Linked DNA regions of Caenorhabditis elegans. The protein of the gene in region 1 interacts with the protein of each later gene in a pairwise test. Each region holds a gene or a part of one and is shown on either strand. Other genes may lie near its edges.

What was found.
Region 2: the proteins of famh-161 (region 1) and K04G2.10 interact in a two-hybrid assay, tested with the Caenorhabditis elegans proteins (one large-scale study listed by BioGRID).
Region 3: the proteins of famh-161 (region 1) and R06F6.8 interact in a two-hybrid assay, tested with the Caenorhabditis elegans proteins (one large-scale study listed by BioGRID).
Region 4: the proteins of famh-161 (region 1) and pah-1 interact in a two-hybrid assay, tested with the Caenorhabditis elegans proteins (one large-scale study listed by BioGRID).

Annotation. Positions count from the first base shown.
Region 1 is NC_003283.11:20,529,176-20,536,048, reverse strand, and holds famh-161 (Protein fam-161), read left to right. Parts: upstream 1-1,876; 5' UTR 1,877-2,007; intron 2,008-2,495; 5' UTR 2,496-2,561; coding exon 2,562-2,636; intron 2,637-2,680; coding exon 2,681-3,714; intron 3,715-3,791; coding exon 3,792-4,057; intron 4,058-4,264; coding exon 4,265-4,404; intron 4,405-4,548; coding exon 4,549-4,671; intron 4,672-4,930; coding exon 4,931-5,289; intron 5,290-5,529; coding exon 5,530-5,589; intron 5,590-5,638; coding exon 5,639-6,026; 3' UTR 6,027-6,353; downstream 6,354-6,873. Other genes in the region: Y38H6C.15 (uncharacterized protein), read left to right, coding at 67-246, 300-491, 1,123-1,248.
Region 2 is NC_003279.8:8,058,177-8,061,005, reverse strand, and holds K04G2.10 (uncharacterized protein), read right to left. Parts: upstream 1,203-2,829; coding exon 528-1,202; downstream 1-527. Other genes in the region: F18C12.4 (Small integral membrane protein 29), read left to right, coding at 1-46, 95-163.
Region 3 is NC_003280.10:10,813,971-10,821,887, forward strand, and holds the start of R06F6.8 (Guanine nucleotide exchange factor subunit R06F6.8), read right to left. Parts: upstream 6,009-7,917; 5' UTR 5,980-6,008; coding exon 5,968-5,979; intron 5,916-5,967; coding exon 5,775-5,915; intron 5,726-5,774; coding exon 5,615-5,725; intron 5,565-5,614; coding exon 5,103-5,564; intron 5,049-5,102; coding exon 4,957-5,048; intron 4,877-4,956; coding exon 4,339-4,876; intron 4,212-4,338; coding exon 3,919-4,211; intron 3,823-3,918; coding exon 3,531-3,822; intron 2,933-3,530; coding exon 1,950-2,932; intron 1,556-1,949; coding exon 1,330-1,555; intron 1,281-1,329; coding exon 1,163-1,280; intron 1,115-1,162; coding exon 982-1,114; intron 347-981; coding exon 1-346. Other genes in the region: ech-4 (Delta(3),Delta(2)-enoyl-CoA isomerase), read left to right, coding at 7,062-7,114, 7,163-7,769, 7,815-7,917. UniProt on the Caenorhabditis elegans protein: Probable component of a guanine nucleotide exchange factor (GEF) that may be required for efficient fusion of endosome-derived vesicles with the Golgi.
Region 4 is NC_003280.10:8,762,107-8,767,070, forward strand, and holds pah-1 (Phenylalanine-4-hydroxylase), read right to left. Parts: upstream 3,106-4,964; 5' UTR 2,966-3,105; coding exon 2,930-2,965; intron 2,835-2,929; coding exon 2,718-2,834; intron 2,310-2,717; coding exon 2,117-2,309; intron 2,065-2,116; coding exon 1,902-2,064; intron 1,790-1,901; coding exon 1,593-1,789; intron 1,543-1,592; coding exon 1,407-1,542; intron 1,232-1,406; coding exon 1,105-1,231; intron 1,061-1,104; coding exon 831-1,060; intron 786-830; coding exon 611-785; 3' UTR 516-610; downstream 1-515. UniProt on the Caenorhabditis elegans protein: Catalyzes the hydroxylation of L-phenylalanine to L-tyrosine. Catalyzes the hydroxylation of tryptophan to 5-hydroxy-L-tryptophan. Plays a role in the biosynthesis of a melanin-like cuticle pigment.

The DNA.
Region 1 (6,873 bases):
AAGCCAAAACCTAAGCCTAAACCTAAGCCTGCTAAGCCGGACTCTGCCTGAAATTGACTTTTCCAGATTTGTGCCGGCAAAAAGAAGCAAAAGTCAACAAAGCCTGTGGTTGAATCAACCTCGGCTTCAAGTTCTGTCAAAAATGGTGCCAATGCTGCTCCAGACTGCCCAGTTCCACCACCGGGGCTTAGATCAGTCGGCAAGGACACTCAGGACCCGAATATGCCGCCAAACAAGGAAGACAAGGTTACCAATTGCCCAACAAGAAAATTAAAACAAATCAAAGTCTGAATTTTCAGAAACCAGAGTCCAAAAAGTCAGCGGAAAAGCTTTCGAAAAAATCGGACAAAACCAAGAAAAAGACGACAGTATCGAGTGAGGATAAGCCTGAAAAACCGGAAAAATTGACCGAAGAGGAGAAGCCGAAGGAAAAGGAAAAAGCGAAGGAGAAGACTGTTCCAGTTCAATCGAAGCTTCGCGAGGGCGACAAGGTAAGCTGAGAATTTTTGGAAAATTGGGCTTATATGAGGTCGCCGCAACGACGCCGGCGCCGGACTCACTCATGCCGCATGTATCCGTATGTATAGTGCGGCGCGGAACTGGGAATGTGGCTACCGCTTTTTTTCAAATAACAATCTTTTCTCACTACATTGAGTACACACCAAACGACTCGTTTCATTTACTAGCGTGCTCATTTACTTGAAATCCCTAACAATGGCTCAATCCCTTTGACGCTCATTTACTAATGTTTTCGCCACAAAACGTCATAAAGGTTGGATGGTAAAATTGTAAACATACCAACTATGCTGATATATCAGCATACTTGGTACATCGTTAATGTTACTTACATCCATTTCTCTGTTAGTAAGGAGATGTTATCTGTTATCTGGCTTGCACAAAACAAATTGGACAAAAGAGAGATGTCCACAAAGCGACGCCGACTCCTAAAAAAATCAGGGAGACAATACCGCGGTCTGCGTATCTCCACAGGCTCACCTGCTAGATGGCAATCAACCAGCGTTCAAGTAAATGAAAACACTAGTAAATGAGGGCTTGCCTGAGCATAGTTTTCCGGTCAAATTAAACATCTTAAACCTTCATAACTTAGCGTTGAATTTTCAGAACGCGGTTGTCACAGATCCTATTGTCACACCTGAAACGGACGAGTACCCCACACTTGAAGAGGATGGCGATAAGAAGACGGAGAAAAAGACTTTCAAGAAGGATAAGACTGATAAAAAGAAGTAGACTAGTATGTGGAATAAATGATTTTTGATATTAAAAATAAAATTTCTTTGACGAAAAATGTTCTCCTCGACATTTTATTGGTTTTCAACTTTTTTCTATTTTCCGGCAAATTGGCAAATCTCGAAATTGCCGGAATTTGCTGGAATAACGGCAATTGCCGAAAATTTTCGGAAAATTGTTGTTTTGCACTTTTTTTTGTAAATTCCAGTTTCATTGGCAAACCGAAAAATCGGCAAACCGGAAAATTGCCGGAATTGAAAATTTTCGGCAATTAAACAAACCGGCTAATTGCCAAAATTGAACATTTCCGGCAAATCGGCAAACCGGCAATTTGCCGATTTGCCGAATTTGTCGACGAAAAAATTGCCGCTCGCCCCTGTTGTCGACCTACATAGGTCTGGATACCTACAAAGTTCCCACTAGTAGTACTAATAAAAGGGGAGGTAGAAGATGAGATTAACGATTTCCTGAATTCCATCTCAAGCTGTCTCGCGTTAATTATGCACCACACCCTACCCTTTTATTTCGTAATCTCTCCCTCCGAGCCACCCATCTTCACCAACAACTACTACCACCTGCCGTACGTTTCCATAACAACCTGGGCCTCACTCCTGTCAAACTCTTTTTCTCGGATTGCTCTCTCTCTCCCGCTTTTTGTGTTCTACTCAATTTTGAGAACACATTTATTTCGGAAAATAATATTTCTGAAGACATGCTCTAGAAGTTTTTGACGGCAGTAGTAGTAGTCGTATATTTCCTGTAAGTTTTTGAATTTGTATGTTTTTTTTTGTTGCTGGTTTCAAACAATTTTTGTTTTCAAACGTATTTATTTTAAAAATACGCATGTAAATTTCCTGCAAAATCTTTTTTGTCAAAAATTAAAAATTTATCTTCAAGATATATGTTTTGTATTGAAAAATTTGAATTCAAATTTCTCTTTGGAAAAATTTCAGCAAATTTGTGTTCCGTAGTGACGTTAAAAGTTGTTAAAATGCAAATTTTTTCAAAAAAATTTAAAATTTTCCATTTTAATTTCCTTCATACATTTTTTGGAAATTATTTGACTTTTGCGCCAAAATTTATTAGTATTATAGGCTTACAATTAGGATTAGGCTTAGGTTTTTCACCAGAGGAAATTATTGAAAAATAAAAAAAAACAACGTAGAACAAATTTCACCAAATTTTGAATCTTTGTTGAAACTACCACAATTTGAAATAAAACAAACTCATTAAAAAAATGGTTCCAGATTTCCCCATGGAAAATCCACAACTTTCGTATATTTCCTAGCATTTCCTTCCTAATATTCCACAAAATGGCTCCACCGAAAGATCCACCAGTGCTGAGGAATCTACAAGCCACAGCGGACTTGCTAGACGCTCTTCAAAATGTAAGTTCAGCTTCTCTTACAGTACCTCAAAAAATTCGTTCCAGGACCCATCATTACTCAACGATGAGGAGTTCATCAAGCGTCTCTCAATTTTGCGTCAAAAACACGAGGAGACCACCAACTTCCTTGCCAAGAAGCTCGGCGCCCCACCGTTGCCAACTATGATGACGTCATCAGAAATTACACAGCATAGGTCGAGCTATAAGGTGACAAAATCTTCGAGTTGTCATTTTCAAGATGAAGCTTCTCCTTCTGACTATCAAATGCCACGTCATCTAGATCTGAAACCGAGATCTTCAGAAGTGAGAGTCCCTGTTCGGGCCGCACCGGAGCCTCCGAGGGAGCAGTCTTGGAGTCAAACTGAGTATGCCACGTTGGCTCACAATCAAAGCCACGAGGCACTTTATGAGGATCCACGTCATCAGGTTCATGCTACATCATCCCATCAGAATCCACGTCATCAAAGCTCTCGGCACCACAATATCGAATCTACAGCACCATCACAGGTCTCTGTTACGTCATCAGTCCAAAGTGTAGCGGCTTTATCTGGCCAAAATCCTCGTCAGCAGGTTCATGCTACGCCATCCCATCAAATTCCACGTCATCAAAGCTCTAGAACCCACCAAAATTCACGTCAACAGGTTCCGAGTGCTACATCATCAACTCTCCAAAATCCACGTCATCGAACATCCAGCGCGTCACGTCATCATTCGACAAGAAATGCCACGTCAGCAACAGTCCGGCAAATTTTGGCAAACGCATCGACCCGGCACCTCAGCTCCGCACCACACATCGCCACTTCCGTCGCCATGCCATCAGGGTTACTGTTATCTTCTAGTAATACGAAACACGTGGCATCTTCTAAGTCAGAAAATCCACAATTTGCCACGTCATCACACGTTGTTGAGGAGAGTTTTTTAGAGGACGGAATGTCAACGACACGGGAAGTTCCAACAATTCGGGATGAAGTTGTAGCGGGCGACTTAAAGCTTTCTAAGAATCGATCCAAGTCTATGCATCAGCTATCAAAGTATACACCACAGGTTACCGTACCGAAGCCGTTTCAGTTGAGCTTGAGGTAAGTAGCTTACAAGGGAAGTATTTCAACTTAGTTGCGGACTTCTGGATGTAACCTAAACTATAATTTTTTTTCAGAAAATCCACTGGAAATACTTACGCAAAAAAGTTCATGAGCGGCCTAATTACGGAAAAGCAAAAACTTGAGGAGGACGCCAAGAAAGCATTGGAAAACACAAAATTTCGGGCAAAACCTGTCCCCAAATCAACATATCAGCCTACAAATACATTTGCGACGGAGCAAAAATACGTAGAAGCCATGAGGAAAAAGGTGGCGGCGAAGGCTCGGAGGAAGTTTGAAGTTCAGAATGAAATGGTCCGATCGAAGAGTGAAGGAAATTTGGGTATGGTTTTTACATTGAAACTAGGATTTCTTGCAAAGTTTTAGGAAAACTGTTTTTTTTGTTGGAATAAACCGGAAAAATTACTAGCTTTTCTCATAGTCAGCTATTTAAATTTTAAAGGAACATTATGAAATTGATTATTGCCTACCGCAAATTAAATGTTGAATTCAAATTCAAAAAAAAATACCATTCCAAATTTTTTTACAGCTTCAATAAAACCTCTCGGGTACGTACCTCCATCAACATATATCTCACCAATTCCAGTGAAACCAAATGCCAGAAGCCGCAGTGCAACTATGAGAGCGACTATTCTTATTCAAGAAGCTACTACTCCAAAGGGAATTAAGGTAAACAAAATTAGAAATTTTGAACAATTAATAATTTTATTTAGAAACAAAAATTAAAAAAATTTAATGTTTTGGTTTAGAAATTTAGTTTTGTTTCATCTATATTCATCTACAAATTCGTTGTCAGAATATTCAACATTCCAGAGCCACCGAGCCCAGTCAAACCTAACCCATCACCTACGTCACGGGCGGTGCACTATGGACGCCTCCGCCGTCTCACTACACCGGCGGACTTCGCCACCGGATTTTGAGAAAATCCATGCAAAAGTGAGTCTAAAAATTAGTTATTTAAAAAAAAGTTGAGTGAAATTTTAAATTTTGGTAAAGTTTCAGAAAACCCAAATAAGTAGTTCTTTTTTGTTATTTCGTTTTTTTTGGAGCATAAAAACTATGTATTTTGCAAATTCTATGGATGCATGCTAATTTTCTACGTGGCACGATATTGCCTGGTAGGCACGTATTGGGGCTCAGAGTAGGCGTAGGCCGCCTTGAAGACAAATAGGTGATTATATAATTTTTTTTCCAGATCACCGATAACTTTCGTAACACAAATTCAAAACCCTCCACTGTGCCGATACCTTTCAAATTCGCATCCAGAAGTAAATCAGCAACTTCGAGACACGGAAATTGTCAAGAACAGGCTCCAAAACCATTCAAAAAATCGACTGAAAACTTGCCGAAAACCTCGAAAAATCGAGTGCCCAGCACTCACGCAACACAACTTCGCGAGGAGCTCAACCGAGCAAAAATTGAGCTGAAAAAGTCTGAAAAATCGGGAAAAAACGGGAATTTCTGGGCTGAAGATAATAAGCAGAGGATTTCCTCGTTTTTGGGAGCACGGAGCAAAACTGAGGAGGATATTGCGATGAGGACAAAGCAGAAACTGTAAGACTTGTTATTTTTAAAAAATATTATCAAAATTTGAAAATCGTTGAGGTTTGTCAAATTCAGCAAAAAAAACATTTTTCCAGAAAACGGGCAGACGCATAACCGGTCACTCCCTCAAAATGGTTTGAATTTCAAAAAAAAAAGAGAGAGACACAGACAGCGTGTCGCTCTGCCTGTCTGCGTCTCTTTTTCTCATGTTCTTTTTTTTTAATGTTAAAACAGTTTCCTGATTTTCAGGCAACAACAGCAGGAAACAACTCAAGAATACATGAGGCAGCTGGCCGAGATGAAGCAGAGGTTAGTTTGATAATTTTCGGAAGTTTTGAAAACCTTCCAAAAATTTCAGAGTGCTCAACGGCCCGCTAATCATGGAAAAACAGACGGCCCTGGCGCAGGAGCACCGTCTAAAACGAAAATTTGAGGAACGCATGAAAAGCGCCAAGGGGCGAGGTATAGAAAGGGTCCAAAGCCAGGAAAAGCAGCAATCAATCGGGAGAAGAAGCTCAGAAGTTAGTGGAAGTGGAACTTTTGTGGTTGACAAGGGTTATGAAGAGAGTTTTGAGTCGGAAGACAAGTCTGAAAAGTCTGGAAGTTCCACGCCATCTGAGTCTGGAAGTGGTTCTGAATCCGAGAATGAATCCAGGTCATCAAGAAGCTCAAAGCCAAAAAGTTCAAAATCAACGTCTTCAAAATCTTCAAGCTCACGATCCACTTCATCTTCCTCGGAAGCTTAAATGCTTGTTATTTTCTTTCAATTGACTAGGCTTTTAGCAGTTTTTATTTCAAAGAGTTTCAGCATTTTCCAAAAAATCGAAATTTTGTAAGACTTTTTTTCCGTTTGACCGCTCCTTTTTTGGTTCTTAACTCAAATTAGGTGCTTTTTTTTAATTTCTTGGGTAAAATTTTCGAAATTTGTTTTTTAATATAAAATGATTTATTGTAAAATGCTGGAGTTTCAGTTTTTCTTGAGTAATTTTAAGATGTGATTTCTTTGCGATTTATGAACAAATTGGTGATTTTTATTCAGTTTTATTTTTTAATAAATTCTCCATAAAATTAAAGTTCATTTTTGAAGTCCACCAAAATTGTTTACAATTTTTTAATTCATAATTTTAAAAAATGTTGAATTTCACGCCAGATCTCGAAGAATTAATGATATTAAACTTTTATAGAAGTTACGATTAATTTGATTCAAACATTATGTGAAGTGGAAACTATAAAGAAACTATGTATCAAATTATATATATGAAATTAATATTAAATTCTTATTTTTAAACGTTTTAAATGAAAGATTGACAAAAATTAATTGGAAAAATCATGACTGGAAAATAAGTTGATCCCTCTGGCAAATCACGCCGGCAATGTAGGTTGGCAAAAGTTCGCAGATGAACACTTTTTCCGGAATGTCAGTGTCGAACATTTGTAATTCCTTGTCTGGGAACTCACTGAAAATTTGATATCAATGATTTTATTTTAAAGCCAAAAAGATTCACTAACGAAATGTCGTATTCCCAGTCGGGAACATGCTGGAACTTCCTGAATTGCGGCTGCACATCATATAGCTGCATAATTCCATCGATG
Region 2 (2,829 bases), on another chromosome or scaffold:
TTTCGATCCAGTTCTTGAGGGAATGAGCGATAATGACTATGCAAAGGTAAGAACATAAATTAAATTAAATTTTCAATTTTATTTCATTTTTCAGAAAAAGAAATTGATTTTGGACATAATGCGATTAGTCAGAAGAAATGAACTCGTAGATGATGACAATTGATAGAACTTGTTAGAAATTACTTATTGGAATAAATAAAGTTTTCGTAACATTTAATGAATTTACCTAAATATGAAACCTGAGAACATTTATTTTTCAATACTGAGGGGCTTCCATAGCCATTGATTTTTTTGGGTGAATGAAAAGATTTAGCAAAACAATTTTCCAAGAAAACATTTAATTGTTTTTTAGATTATTTTAAAAGTTAAATTATTTTACCGAAATGGGCAAGTTTGTTGCTTTTATGAAGACTCCTGACTCCAAGGTTTTTCAATATAACGAAAAATAGTCATTACAGACTTTATTCGTAAAAAGCAAGAAAATAACATAAAGCATTGAAAAAAAAAGAGATTTTGAAGTTAGATTATTAGTTCTGGAAAATGAATTTATTATCGAGAACACCAGAAAGATTTTCCTTGTTTTCCTGCTTTTCCTCACTATTTACAGACTTCTCGACACATGAGGAGTCTTTCATTTCCAATTCCGATTGAAGAAGTGCCATTTCGAATTCCATCTTTTCAATTACTTTTTTCATCGAACCAATTTTCCGTTTATACTTCTCAATACTTTCTTTTTGTCGATCATCATTCTCTTCCATATATTTGACCATGTCTTGTTGATCCAATGCATAATCACGAAGCTTTTCATACTTTTCACTCCATTTTTGTTCAATAGCATCTTTCCATTCTTCTAATGGATATTCTTCTGGAGCTTCAACCTTTTTTCTCATTTCAATCATCAATTGATCGTTGATCTCCATCAACACTTTTACCATTGGATGGTCATGAATTGAATCTTGAGATTCTGTTGATCCTTCCTTTTCGACTTCCTGAATAGTCTTCATCTTCCGATTCTCACATCGACGCATTTGAACTTGTCTCTCCAAATCTTGAATTTGAAGTCTCATGGTGTTCTTCTCCACTTCATTACAAATGTTTGTCAGGTACCTCTCGTCCATCAACTCTTGAACTTTTCGAATTTGACGATTACATCCTGGGCAGTACATTTGATTCGAGCTTTGTGGTGGATTATAGCGTTGCATACTTCTTTTTAGTGTTGAGTTTCTGAAATAAATAAAAAATATAAAAATTAATGTGTTCCAAAAAAAATAAAAAATAAGGAAAACAAGAACAAAGATGGGTAATGTTTGATTGAGCACAGTAGCAGTCGATATATCGGAGACGAGCGTTTTCGTGTCGAGACCCAAAGCTGCAATCGATAATGTAGTGCTGTAACTAGCAAAAAGAATGGCATAGGAAAGGAGAACATCTGCTCCGATGACATCATTTCTCTCTTGCTATGAGATCGATATTATCTGGTTCCTCTCGCACCTGTTTATGACATTTACAAAGAAGTACCAATTTGGTAGATCAAAAAAGATTTCGAGAATGTTGGGACTGGAACAAAATTTTTTATAATATTAAGATTTTTAGTCGCCGACAATGGTTGCCCATTCCAACGTGCTATTCGATTTATGTTGGAGCAATCGACGGGCGAATTCGTGGTAGTACAGATTATATGCTTCATTTATCAAAGTTGTCTATGATTTATTGGATTGAAAGCAAAAGTTGGAGATTAGCTCAAAGTGAAAACTGCAGAATCAAATTGAACTCCGGCGAAATGCATGAAATATTAACTCTCAATTCAGTATTGCGGAAAACTGGTTGGAATCAGGAGTTGACAGATCTTTGAGACAAGAAAATGTGAGGGAATTTTCGCGTCTCCCGGTCATGTCCAGATTACAACAGTTTTCCGGGATGCTGAATTGATATGGAATCAGATAGAGCCGTCTTTATTTTTACTTCGTTTCTACTCGCTTTAGTTTTCAAAATGTTTCAGGTCAAGATCAATGGGACGAAGACGACTGAAGTAGGACGTGAGAAGATCATAGTAGAAAAGATTTCCGGCGTCGACTTGATTCGGAACCTCGCCGATTCGCAAAGATCAGTGGCCTCAACATAATTTCAGTTTCGTTCTAAAAAATTTGGGAAAATCAGTTGTTCAAACAGTACAAAGATTATGAACTCATTCTTAAAAACGTTATATTCCAACTCGAAAAAATCTTCACCTGTCGGGTTAGTAGAGATTCAGCTTGTGTGGTTCCTGCAAAAATAAAAATTCACACTCAAGTATAAATGTTTTTTTTTCAGAAAATACTTTTCAGGAATTGTGTTTTGTTTTAATCCTGATCTTTAATTATAAATGTCTCAGTGAACCGCCCGTGCAGAATATCAAAATTTCTCACTAAGCATGCCTTTTCACTACAATCGCATAACTTCTTTGTTCATGTGTTATCATGAATTTGCCATTTTCTCATCAATAAGTCTCCTTCTCATTCATTTTTCTTCATTTCTTTGTATCTCTAAAACCTCTAACACATGCCCGACCTTGACAGGGTAATATGCTGATATCCTCCACTCATATATGTATATTGTTGTTTTTTTTTGTCCAGTTGTTGTACGATTTTTATGATTTTTATGGGTAGTCTGGGAGACGAATGTTTGCAGTTTGCCGAACAAATATAATAATTCTGGAGTTTTGAATGTGTCCAGAGGAAAAGCAAATGTAAGAAGAAGGTGTGACCGGTTGGAAAAGCTGGTATCTGAATTTTCACAACTGAAAGTTTAAGTGGATATAAATGTACTGGAAAATATTAATACCACTTTCTA
Region 3 (7,917 bases), on another chromosome or scaffold:
ATGATGATTCATTGAAGAAGATGTCGATGGGGATCTATCGATTACTGGTGCCAGTTCCACAGCACTTCCACGTACTCTTTCCAGCACGGCTTCTTGAATCTCAACGTCTTCTTCGCTAGCTTCAATATCCGTTTCACGAATTCTCGATCTAGCTCCATTTAAATCAACTACAGTCCTTTCCAATTTTCTGGCTTTAGGCTTCTTTATATTATCCAATGAGTCATTTAGTAGTCCATTCAAGCTTGCAGTACTCTGGCTGACACGAATATTTCCAAGCTTCTTCTCAATTTGATGCACGAATTGAGAACCGATGAGAGGATATGGCCACGAGAATTGAGCATGGAGTCTGAAAATTTTTGAAATTAGAGTTTTTTATATTAAAAATATTCCCAATTTTTATTGAAAATCGACAAAATCGAAGGAATATTCAAAATTTCCGATAGTTTTTCAATAATTTTTTCTCATCAAAATTTACATTTTTCTGGTTAATATTTAGCTTCTGGGTTTTTCTCATATATTTTTACAACGCTTAAAATTTTTTTTAATTTTTCGATTTTCAAAATTTCAGTTTTTTTTTTTTGAAAGATAAAATTTGCATTTTTTTCCAATAATTTTAGATTTTAAAAATTCCCCCAAAAAATGTTTCGTGTTTTTTCTTTAATTATTATTTTTTACAGAAAATGTAACAATTCAGAAATTTAAAAATAAACTTAAATTTTCGAGTTTTCCAATTTTTCCGAGAATTTAAAAATTAAAAAAAAAACGGGAAATTTAAAATCAAAAATTTTTTTTCCGTATAATGTATCATTTTTCTGAAAAACACGAAAAATCGGAATAATTAAAAATTTAAATTTTTTAGTATTAAATTTCAAGTTTTTTTTTCGATTTTCAGATTCTCGAAAAAACTGGAAAACTCGAAAATTTAAGTTTATTTTTAAATTTCTGAATTATTACATTTTCAGTGGAAGAATCCCAATTTACCTTGTAAGTGCCAAGGCAAAATCTTCAATCAAAAAGCAATTTTCGTTTGTAGTTTTCGGTGAAAGAGAAATTTGTTTCCGTCGCGTCTCCAAAAGACCGAGCAAATCGAATTGAAGTTCGGACCAGAAGAATCCTGAAAAAAATTGAATCCAAATTGTCCTGAATTTTTTTTTCCAATTACCAAGATCTAGAAGCCAATAATTATTCAGCAAATGCCACGCGTGATCTTCTAGAATTGATGTCATTTTTGCGGCGAGTCGATTCGTAGCCAATTGTGGAGAAAGTTCACCAGATAGGCCCTGAAATTAGATTTTATAAAAATAAAAATTTCCAGTAAAACACACAAACCCAAGACAACGCCATTTTATCCTTTGAACTTCCGCCAATCGAATCTTTTCTCGGTGCATCTTTTTGCTCAGTACTCTGTGAATGTCGAACTTTATTTAATCTTCCTCCAGCAGCTCCCGCTTGAAATCTATTAATCACGAATTCAGTGGAAGAATCAGCGGACGGTGAGGATACTGTAGGTCGGCGGGATAGAGAAGTCTTGGCACTTGGTGGAGGTGTTCTGAAACTTTTTAAAAATTAAAACAATTGCAAAGTTATTATCAAATTTTATTTTTGTTTGCTTAAAAACTACGGTAGCCGGTCTCGACACGGCCAATTTTTCAAATGCAAATGTGTGGATTACGGTATCTAATAATTCGTTGTTGCGAATTCAACTTAGTTTCGGTCATTATTCTATTTCTGAACACATTTAATTATTTTTCAAAGTGGGTGCCGATTCTGTGGATCGTAGCGTGAAACGGATACGATAACAACGGTGACCTTGATTCTGAATACCTCGCTTGATAAAAGGAGAGTTACGGATGTAGGGCACATGTATTCTGGGAATCTTTTTTCCGTGCGTTCTCTTTTTGGAGGCATTCTTTTTTAATTTCTCTATTAATGAATTCATTAATTCTTACAATGCATCAATATCCTCCGAACCAATAGATCTTGCAAATCTGACCATTTCCTTCGCAATCGTCCATTTTTTCTCTTCTAATGCTTCCTTCACAAGTCTCGCTGCTTGATCCATACTCACTTCGGTGGTTTCAAGATTTTGCAGGACAATCACGAAACTTGCAGCATTTTCGAGTTGTTTCAGTTGTAGACATTCTTCGAATAGTGCATTTGGAGATCCTGTGACATCAAATAACGTTCTCCAAAGTGCCAATTCAGTTTTTCGTGCACAATGTGCTACGGTTTTCAGAAATTCTGGAAATTCGTGAATAAAAGCTACACATCTTGGGAGAAGAGGATCTGGAATTGGTTCACTACTTGTAGCTTCTTCTTCAAGGACTCCATGGAGCAAAAGCTCAAGAGCATGCGTGAAATGTGGAAGAGAACGACAGGCTCCGGCGAGCTCCAAAGCAAAAACTCCAAGATTTCGCTTCAAAAGTTGTCGGAGCAGGTGATGCACAAATACTTCACTATTGCGATGAAGTCCATACATAGTGATACTTTCCATTTGTCCTTGATTTCTTGAAGCTCTTGCAACATGTTGTAGTTGACTCTCGACACCCATTGCAAGACAATCTTTGGCACTAATCACAATTGGATAGATATCAAGTTCAAATGGAAGCATTATTCGTTTCGCGATAAACGTCATTTCCTGTGTGGCTAAATTTCGTTTTCCTGGCACCAACGGCATCCAAACTTTGATTCCTTTTGCACCACAAGCAATCCATAAAGCATTACTCAAATGTGAAGAACATGATTGATTCATTGGAGATGATGGTTCTGAAGTTGTTGATGTGGAAACACTTTGGATTGAAACATTTGATCCATTTCGCCGATGGTTCTTCCATGGAAGATCTTGATTTTGAGACTGGGTTGATTGGGAGACTTGACAACGGTCATGCCACATTTTTTCCACGTATGACGCGATTACCATGGGTTGATGGAGCTGTAAATTTTATTTTAATATTGTATTTCCGAATTCCAAAAATTTCTAATTTAAAAACCAAACATTTCAGAAATCCCAAAACTTCCAAAATTCCAGAAAATTCAAATAGTCTAAATTTGAATCATTTCACAAATTCAAAACTTTAAAAAATCCGAAAATTAAAAAGAAACTGAATTTTGCAAAATTCCAAAATTGAAAAATTCTGAAAATTGAAAAAAATTAGTTTAACCGAGTTAACCGAGTATTTAGGAAAAAGGAAAAATTTTTCATGTTTTAAAAATACTGAAATTCAAAATGTTGAAAAATCTAGGAACGGAAAAATTTTGAAATTTCTAAAAATTGAAAATTATTAAATTTCGAAACAAAAAATTCAATTCCAAAATATTTTAATTTTTTTTAAATTCCAGAAAACCCAAAAATTCGAAAACTCTAGAAGTTCTGAAAATTCAAAAAATTCAGAATGTTTTAAAAATTTCTGAAATACCAAAAATTGGACAAGAATATAAAATTTAAAAATTCCAAAAATTCTAAATATTCATCAAATTTTGCAAAATTCTGGAAACTCAGAAACCATGCAATTTTAATTTTCCGTACAAACCTTTCCATCCTCATTAACACTCAAAGTGATCAATCTTCCCGAAATATTAACCAGCACAGTATCGATACTTGAATAAAATGCAGGTGACAACTTCCCCCGTACATCCAGATTCAGCTGTGTCATTTGAAGAGATACAATACATGTTGGATGTGGAACAATTTCGTTGATTCGAATAACAGTCACAATTTCAGTGGAGACTTTTGTAAAAGCATCTCGTCCAGTTTCCAAGTGAGCCGTGAGCTTATAAAGCGTAATTTGAGCCGATATATCGAATACTGCACAAACGTCGTCGCTGGAAAAATTGGGAAAATATTAATGTCACTGAATCTAGAATAATTCCAAAAAAACTGATAATGAGAGTTCATTTCCAAGATTGAATATTTCTTACCGTAACACGGACATGACCGATTTATGCTCCAAATCCACAACCGACGCATATCGACTGTCAAGTCTCTGAGAAATTGGATAAAATGAGAGATGGGACTTGTCAGTATCCGCAGCAACTCCAACAACTCCAATGACGTCATCATTCCAAATAAAGACACCTCCAGTGACCAAGAGATTCTTCTCTTGAGTCTCATTTCCAAAAATCTTCCAACGTCGATTGGATAATGAACAATATGCCATTCCTTGATCACCGGCCACGACGAGATGTTTATAGTTTCGATCAGTTGATGCATACTGAAAACATATTAAATTTTAACATTTTATTTTAATAAACTCTATCGGAAAATACCTACGTGCCTACATGCCTACCTCATGGTTTTACCAAATTTATGCTTTTAGTTTTTACTTTTAAAAAACTCACTCTCAGTGGCCAATTAGATGATAGATATTCATGTGTAACTGTAATATGATCCCATACAGAATGCGGTGCACAAGCTTCTGCTTCTCGATCCCTTGCAGCACTGATCAAAACCTGCGAGTCACTCATCAATACAGCTCTATCACAATGTTCCATTGCCGGGCTTGAACATGAAGCACTCCTCACGAATGGTTGCATCATAAGCTCATTTTCAGTTCCAAGCCACAGTTGGAAACCTTCTGGACCCCATTCAATAGCCGTGTATCTATCATTTTGATCTTCTTCGACGACACCTTCCAGATTGCAAAATGATTGAGCTCCGAATGAAGTGAAAACTGCGACGAGCCGAGGAAGAGCATGAGCTCCGGATAGTGGAGACCAAATTGCACCGAATCCGTATCCATTCGCGAGGGCTGTTATTCGGTGAACCGGACCCAGTCGATTCGTCAAGTCAGGACCATTTGTTACTTTTGGAGCAACTCGGAACGATTGAACGAGTGAGCCATTTAGTTCATCGATGTTATAGGCACAAACGTCGCCGCTGGAAATAGTTTAGATTAAAAAGAAAACTGTGCGTTTGATTTTTGAAAATTAAAATCTGAAAAATCTGAAAAAACTCACTTTTTACATCCAAAAAGAATCAGAAGGAACTTGTGATTCACATCGCAACACGTGGCATCTTTCATATTCGGAGCCCACACTCCCAGAATTGCCTGGAATAATAAAAAATGGGTTTTTTTTTTAATTTTTCATGATAAAAATCTCACATTAGGTGCAAAATTCGGATCATTCGACGTCAATAGAGCACCTTGACCATCGGAAAGTACAATCGCAAATCCTCCGAGAAGTGGAGCATACACGGCGTCAAAGATATACGTGGATTTTGAAGTAATATTTTCAGATTTCGACTGAAGTTGATCCACGGAGAACGGAATTGAACTGGCACGGAATGAGAGGCTTGCAATAATCTCTCCAGTCCAAGTGACATGATGAGTGAATCCATTTTGAAGGCAAACAAGAAATTCATCACGAGAAGGAACACAACATGTTGGTATATCAGCCAGATTTATGATTATTGTTGGATGAAGATGAGCTGTCGGTCGAGATCCTTTTATAAAAAGTTCCGGTGAGTTTCGTTGGAAATATGGATCCGCAGAGTCTGTGAAATTGTAGCATTGTTCATCGTCTCGCAAATCTAGATTATAGATTAAAATTTTGCATTGATTTGTCTGAAAAATATAATATTTTCAAAGAAAGAACTGTAAAATTTAAATATTACCGTTACAGCTATACTTGTTGAGTCAGGTTTCCAGTAAATTTCTTTTAATTCTCCACGTGTTTCTTTGAAATTGGCATCGATAACCCCGACGGAGCACAGGAGCAGTTGGGGCTGAATTTATGTTTTTTTAATCAGATTTTTATTAGTTTTCAGCACTAACATTTGCCAGCCAAATGTAAATCGCATCATTTGTTGCGACTGCTATCAATCTTCGATCTCGATTTGCCACAATTGACTTGATATCGGCGGCAGTCGAATCCTTTTCATGCTTCGGAAGCTGGAGAACCGATGGCCTGTCATTCTGGAATTTTCAAAAATTATTTTTTATTAAAAAAATTCTAAAGGAAACTTACAGGTATGAACATTCTATGCCAGATCCATCAAATGTTGTATTCTGTTGAAAAATATTAATTATTCGGGGGAAAACGGTTTTTTGCGATTAAAAGCTCAGTAATAAAGAAGCGCGTTCAATTTTTAGCAGATTCAATTCGACATCTTGATTTAAAAATTAGGAGATTGATTTTATTTTGTATTTGGAACGCAAAAACGTTTCAAACAGAATAAAAAGGCCTCCAGCTGTGAATATTTTTCAAGAGCAATCGCGCTCGGTTGCCACGCGTTAGAGGGCAGAGACGCAGACTTTTCAAAAATTTCAGGCGTTCAGGATTGCGTGGATGAAAATGATTTCACTCGAAAAATAACAAATTCATATTTAAATAATAAAATTAACACCAAAAAAAAAAGAATTAACAAAAAAAAACAACAAAACAATTGAATCAGAGTACTGTAGACAAAGTATTGTGCATTTTGTAGTTGCCGTGAACAAGGGTGTCAATTCCCGTGTCCCGTTTGTCCCGTTGTCCCGTTTTTGGGGTGTTTTCACGGGAACGGGAATTCTGTTGTCCCGTTTTTAAAATTTTCACGGGAACGAGAATTCCCGTTGTCCCGTTTTTGTAATTTTTACAGGACACTGACACCCTTGGCCGTGAACGTCCTTTGTCTGCAAATTTTATTGATTTTATTTATCAGTTTTCTGATTTCTCCTAGGAGGGGATTTCTCCTAGGACTCCTAGGGATTATAATTTGATTTTCACTGTTTTTTCTAATATTAAAATCTTAATTTCCAGGTTATCTATACAATTTGAGCTCTCTTTTAAAAAAATTGAAACTCCAAATTTTCCTGAATCTATTATTTATCCCATTTATAATTGCTCCACTATTGTCTTGCGTATAGTAGCGATTGTCCAGCTACACATTACAATGTGTATTCTTGTGTGTAGCCAGTTCATTCAAAACAACAAAAAGACGGCGGCCGTTCTTATCATTTACCCGGCCCCTCCGTGTACCTTGTTCTTTTCTTCACGTTGTCCATTTTCTTTCTTTTTTTCTCTTTTCCCCGAAAAAATTAATTATAACGTTTAAAAAATCAATTTTAATTCATTTCAGAATGCTTCGAAATCTCACCCTCGCCGCTAGAAGTGTTCTCTACAATCCGCAAGTGTAAGTCTGCAAAAATCATCTAATTTGTGAATAAATCTTCAATTTCAGTTCCGTTCGCTCGTTCTCTGCCCAGGCTGACTTCGAGAAGGCGCAGAAAAATCTGAAAACTCTGAAGGAAGAGCCGGACAATGACGTGAAACTGCAGCTCTACGGGCTTTTCAAACAAGCCACCGCTGGGGATGTGCAAGGAAAACGCCCGGGAATGATGGATTTCGTTGGAAGAGCCAAGTATGATGCCTGGAATACTTTGAAGGGACAAACTCAGGATGAAGCTCGCGCCAACTATGCTAAACTGGTCGGTGGACTCATTTCCGAAGAAGCTTCTGCTGCTCCAGAACCAACTGGGCCATCAATCGAAGGACTTGAGAACGTTGACGGTTTAAGTGTGACTCGCGAGGGAAAAGTGTTCAAAATCGCATTGAATAGACCAAAGAAGTTCAACGCATTGACATTGGAAATGTATCAAGGAATTCAAAAGGCACTGGAGGTCTCCAACAATGACAAGAGCACCTCAATCACTGTGATTACTGCCAATGGATCATATTACTGCGCTGGAAACGATTTGACTAATTTTAAAGCTGCTGCTGGAGGTACTAAAGAGCAAATTGCGGATATGGCTAATACAGCTAAAGTTATTATGAAGGATTATGTCAATGTTAGTTTAAAAATATATATTTCAATAATAAATTCAAATTTTCAGGCCTATATTAACCACGAGAAGCCTTTGATTGCTCTGATCAATGGCCCAGCCGTAGGAATTGCTGTGACCGTGCTCGGAATGTTCGACTACGTAATTGCAACCG
Region 4 (4,964 bases), on another chromosome or scaffold:
ACACACACACACACACAAAAACTAAACAATAATCAAAAATGCATGACAATTTATATGCACAGTTTTCGTTTTTCGCAGTTAGATCACTCACACCAAAACACTCGCTGTCGTAGATGACGTGGTTTTTGCAACAAAAATGGATAACTGGCTTTAATTTGGGAAACATTTTGGTGCTCACACCAATTTTTCGCACTTTTTTCATGTGATGCTTCAAATAAAGTAATTGCTGAAAAGGAAATCGTTTCAGATGCCGGAAAAATGTTGGAAAAATACGCGTTAATCCTGGCGAGAGAAAAAAAACAAAACAATTGGAAGTGAACAAGGCTTCGAATTGTTTATTTTCATTTCAGTGCATTGCTTCCAACGACGGTGAACACTATTTTTAATTAATTAGTTTTCACATTTCCCTGTTTTCAAGGAGTTAAGGGAATATGATATGTTTTTTAGAACAGTCATCATAGTTGTAACTCCATCGTAGGTAGTTTAAAAATCGTCTGTAAATCGAGCAGCATGGACAAATTTGTAATTGTTGTTCAGGTTTCTTTGTAATTCAACAAACATTGAGAACAATGTACATTTATTCTTGCAAATTAACAATTTAATCAAAAAGTCACTTCATCTTGAGATTGTTCACTTTTCCAAGAGCTTCTTCCAAAGTAGAAATATCACTTCTGATGTCTCTTGCGAGACGTTGAAGTGCTGCTACCTTGTCGAGAATTTCAACTCGTTGAGTGTAAGCATTATAACGAATTTGGAATGGACGATTGATGGTAGCTGCCCATGATCTGAAATTATCTAGATTACAGTTGAAACTGACTATTTGATCCTACTTAAGTTTGTTCTTAGCACTTGCAAATGATTCAGCTAAGAAATACTTTGGCTGATATTCTGTGATTGGATATTTGGTGACACAACATACAGCTGGATCAAAATCTACAACTTCCGGCTTATCACTCAACGCATATTGAAGCTCTCCAAATGAACTCAAAAGTCCGGCTCCGTAAGCTTTTTTCTCCCCATCTTGTTGACAGATTCCAAATTCGATTGTGAACCAGTAGAGCTAATATTTCAAAATAAAAAGGGGGTTTCAATGTTCAAACATACTGTGGCAAGTTTTTCAATAACATCATCTGGAGCTCCAAGAGAAGCAAGACCGATTTCCTGTGAGAATTGTGCAAATTCAACATCAGCAAATAGTGGAACATGTCCCAGAAGCTCGTGGCAGATATCTCTGAAAGTTACATCTCCAGCTTATTGTCAAAAATTCAGAATATATCCAGATGATAATCAACCGATTAGATTTTATTTTCCTTTTATGTTGCACTATAGAGTTTTCACAATTTTTTCAAAGCAAAAGTCGTTTACGAAATCCCACCCTCGGTTAAAATTATCATGTTCAAACTCACGGTTCAGGTGTGTATTTTGGAGCGGAATGATGGCGAATGTATTGTGTGGAATGAAAAACACGGAAGGCCAAACCAGCCAAGAAATCACGAGAAGAAAGAAGACCAGCGACTGGTCGAATCGTGTACCCGGTACAATCTGAACACGAAACAAATACAAAAACAATCAGATGATAATGATTTGTTTACCCTTCAAAAAATCTGAAACATCCTGCAATTGTGGAATGCGGTCAGGTCCAAAACCACAATTCTGCTGGAGGAGTGGGAATATGTAGTTGAACTCTTGGCAAGCGTTTTTCGGGTACATAACTGTCAGCTCGTTGTAGACTGTACGCCACGTGGCAATTTCTTCATCAGTGTAGGTGATAGTAGGGATCTTGTCTCCGCTGGAAAGTACGATCAGGTTGCAATTCGGATTTTTTGGATTTTATTCAGTACGCCTTCAATGTTACATATTTATTGGCACATATTGCTACTTTTGTTGATGAAATGACTTACTGTTTGAAGTTGAATGCAATATCGGCGAAAAACTTTCTGCGCTCGCGGTAGGTCATGTCCTTAAATCCAGGGTGATCGGCATCAAGCTCAGCTCCATAAGAAAGAATTCTGTTGGCAAATTGATCGATGTCGTTGATCTTCTGTGGGAACCATGGAACAGAATCTACAAAGCTCTTGAATTTAATACTGTGAGTTTCATTATTGTTATAGCGTACCCTTGTTTTGTTTGTTTTTGGTGTTCCAGTCTTGAACAAGAACCTTCTTTTCAGCTTTTTGTTGGAAATGCTCAATAACTCCTTCAATCTTACGATGGTCTTCAGCTTCAGCAAATTCAACGAGCACCTCATAGCATCCTTCATGAGTCTTTGATGGTCTTGATTCAATGTGAGACAGATTCACATCATGTGCCTGCAAGAATGTGTAATGAAGCATGTAATTGGTAGGAATTTGAGACAATTGATATGATCTCTTTTTCTCGTGACACGATTTTCGACATCTTTGATAATCAAAAATCGCGAACCGGATTAAAAAATGCAACTACGTAGTTTATCTCTTATCATATTTAGAAACAGTTTGGTGCAAATTTTCAAATTTTAATTTGATATAAATGTTTTTTCTATGTCTACTCAACCGTCTAAACATAATTGAAGATCATATTATTCAACGCTTTATGATGCATAAAATATTAAACCGCCTGATCAAGAGTAGACGTGAGAATCATAAGATTTAAAAAAAAAAGTGTCGCTGACGCAATAGTCATCCTCTGAAGTCTCATGATCCTCTGACATTTCTAGTCTGGTTTTTTTCATGACTAACCTGGAACAGCTTCAATGTTTCAGCGAGAGCTCCTGCCTTTTCACGAAGAGTGAATACGATAGTAGTCTTGCCAATGTCGGCGTTGACGTCAGCAACGTACGATTCCATGGCGTACTTCTGAAATAAGTTGGACTTTAGTAATTGGAAATAATTTTACACAAAATTCTCAAACAGAAGTTTTTCTTGATCAGTTCAAACAAGGAAGGTCTCACCAAGAAGTCAAGATCATCTTGTCCAGCTGGTGGCATTTTCAGAGAACAAGATTTGGTTTTCAGAGGAATAGACAGTCACCGGGAAATAAGAATTAAACAGAGACAAAACGTGAGCCGTACGTTGCCGTTTATACGAGACGAAATAGCTGGAGACTCAGAAGCCTAGAGATACAAGGCGTGGCCTATGAACTAGATAATTCGTGTGGCCCCCAATACCATTCTGCAGAGAAAAATCCACGTGGGAGGAGACTCGCGGCTACCCATACACAACCTACACGTGGGTTTTCATTAGAGTGTAGTGTGAGATAGAAGAACGGTTGGAAGAAATTGAAAAAAATACGAAGAAGAAGAAGAACAGTCAGATGATGAACTTGAAAGCACGTGGAAAATGATATGAAATAGATCACAGACAAATGGACGCCTGAACAATAAAAGATATGATTATGATCAATGAAATACAGTTTGAACTTCCAAAAGAAAGCATGCCCCAGTGGATCTTCTTCGTAAAATAGATGTAAATCTCTGTTTCTAGTTGAGTTGAAATTTAAGACGTTGGGTATGAATTGGATTGTAGGCCTTTTCAGGCGTATGTGCTTACATACAGTCATTTTTCAATTTCAATTAATTGATGAAGCTTAAATATGGATAGTGGAATGTTTCATTTTTTCACGATGCTGAAAAAGGGGAAACTGAAACAGGTTTTTTTTGTTGAGTAAATTTACCGAATTTGGAGTCTTACGACTGCCTTGTGACGAGCCTCGTTCAAAACTTTTTTTCAACTTCCTCAAATTTCTCGAATTTTAGTTTTTGACCTTAAACAGACATTTCAATGGTTTTGATTGAAGAAAAAACCAAGTTTTCTTTGAAACGATCAAATGGGTTACGGTAAAAGCCATAAAATCATGGTGTATCGAATCGAAAGTAGGAGGGGGACGCTGAGAAAAATCAACAGAACACAATAATGAAAACTGGTTGACGCATCCTTTGTATTGTGAAAAGGAAGGAAAATGAGATGAGATGAAGACGTGGAATATTTAGATGGAAATATATAGGAGGACGTTTGGTTGAATGTCTGACATTTTAGGATGATAAATTTAGAAGAAAGAAATTTATATGAATGGATGAGACAAGACGATGTCATAAATCAGTTTGAAAACGGCAGAAACGATCAATAGTTGATGATGTCCGACTGGCTTTTATCAACTTTTCGTGAAAATTTTCGTTTGCAACGCGAATCTTCTGCAGACCATGATCTGAGATGTCTATGTCAATGAGGTAAATAGGAACAGTAATACAGCATTGAAACAATTAATTTAGTCGATGGTTGATCATAAAAAATGGAGAAATTTTGAAAATACTCGTGTACGAGATCAACTGATCAGCGACGGTTTCGATGAAAACAGGGGAAAATATAAGGATGATAACACTTTTGAAGATAGCAAAATATTTTGGTTCAAACAGTTTTTAATTAATTGAAATTATTTAACAATTTTCTAATAGTATGATAACAAATTCTATAATTTTTTTTAATAATTTCCGTAGTTTTGACCAAATTTTTGTTTAGATTGTAACTTCCACGGATATCACGTATACTTTGGCAATAGAGGCTGGCATAGGCCGCCTGGTAGGACTTTGTATTTATGTATTTTCAGCTGTTACCCTCTTTTTGAAAAATTAAAGTATGGCCGAAAAAAAGTATTTTTAAAATATTCAAAATTAGCAAATTGATTTTTTTTTTCAGATAATTTGGCAAACATCAGTTTCTTATTACAAATGCAAATGTTTGACGTTGGACTAGTATAAATAAAGAGCTCGATGTACAAAAATTATATCATAATATTGAGAAAAATGGATCAAACATACCTTTCTAATTTCATCAATATTCATCCTTATATAGCTGGACTCAACAGACCAATAATATAACTGATGGAATGTACGAAAAAGGAAAAGGAAGGAGGTACTGCCGGGATAATCATCAGTTTACGTTATCATCTTATATCTTGAATGCACCGAGTCGCGTGGAAGATATCCAATC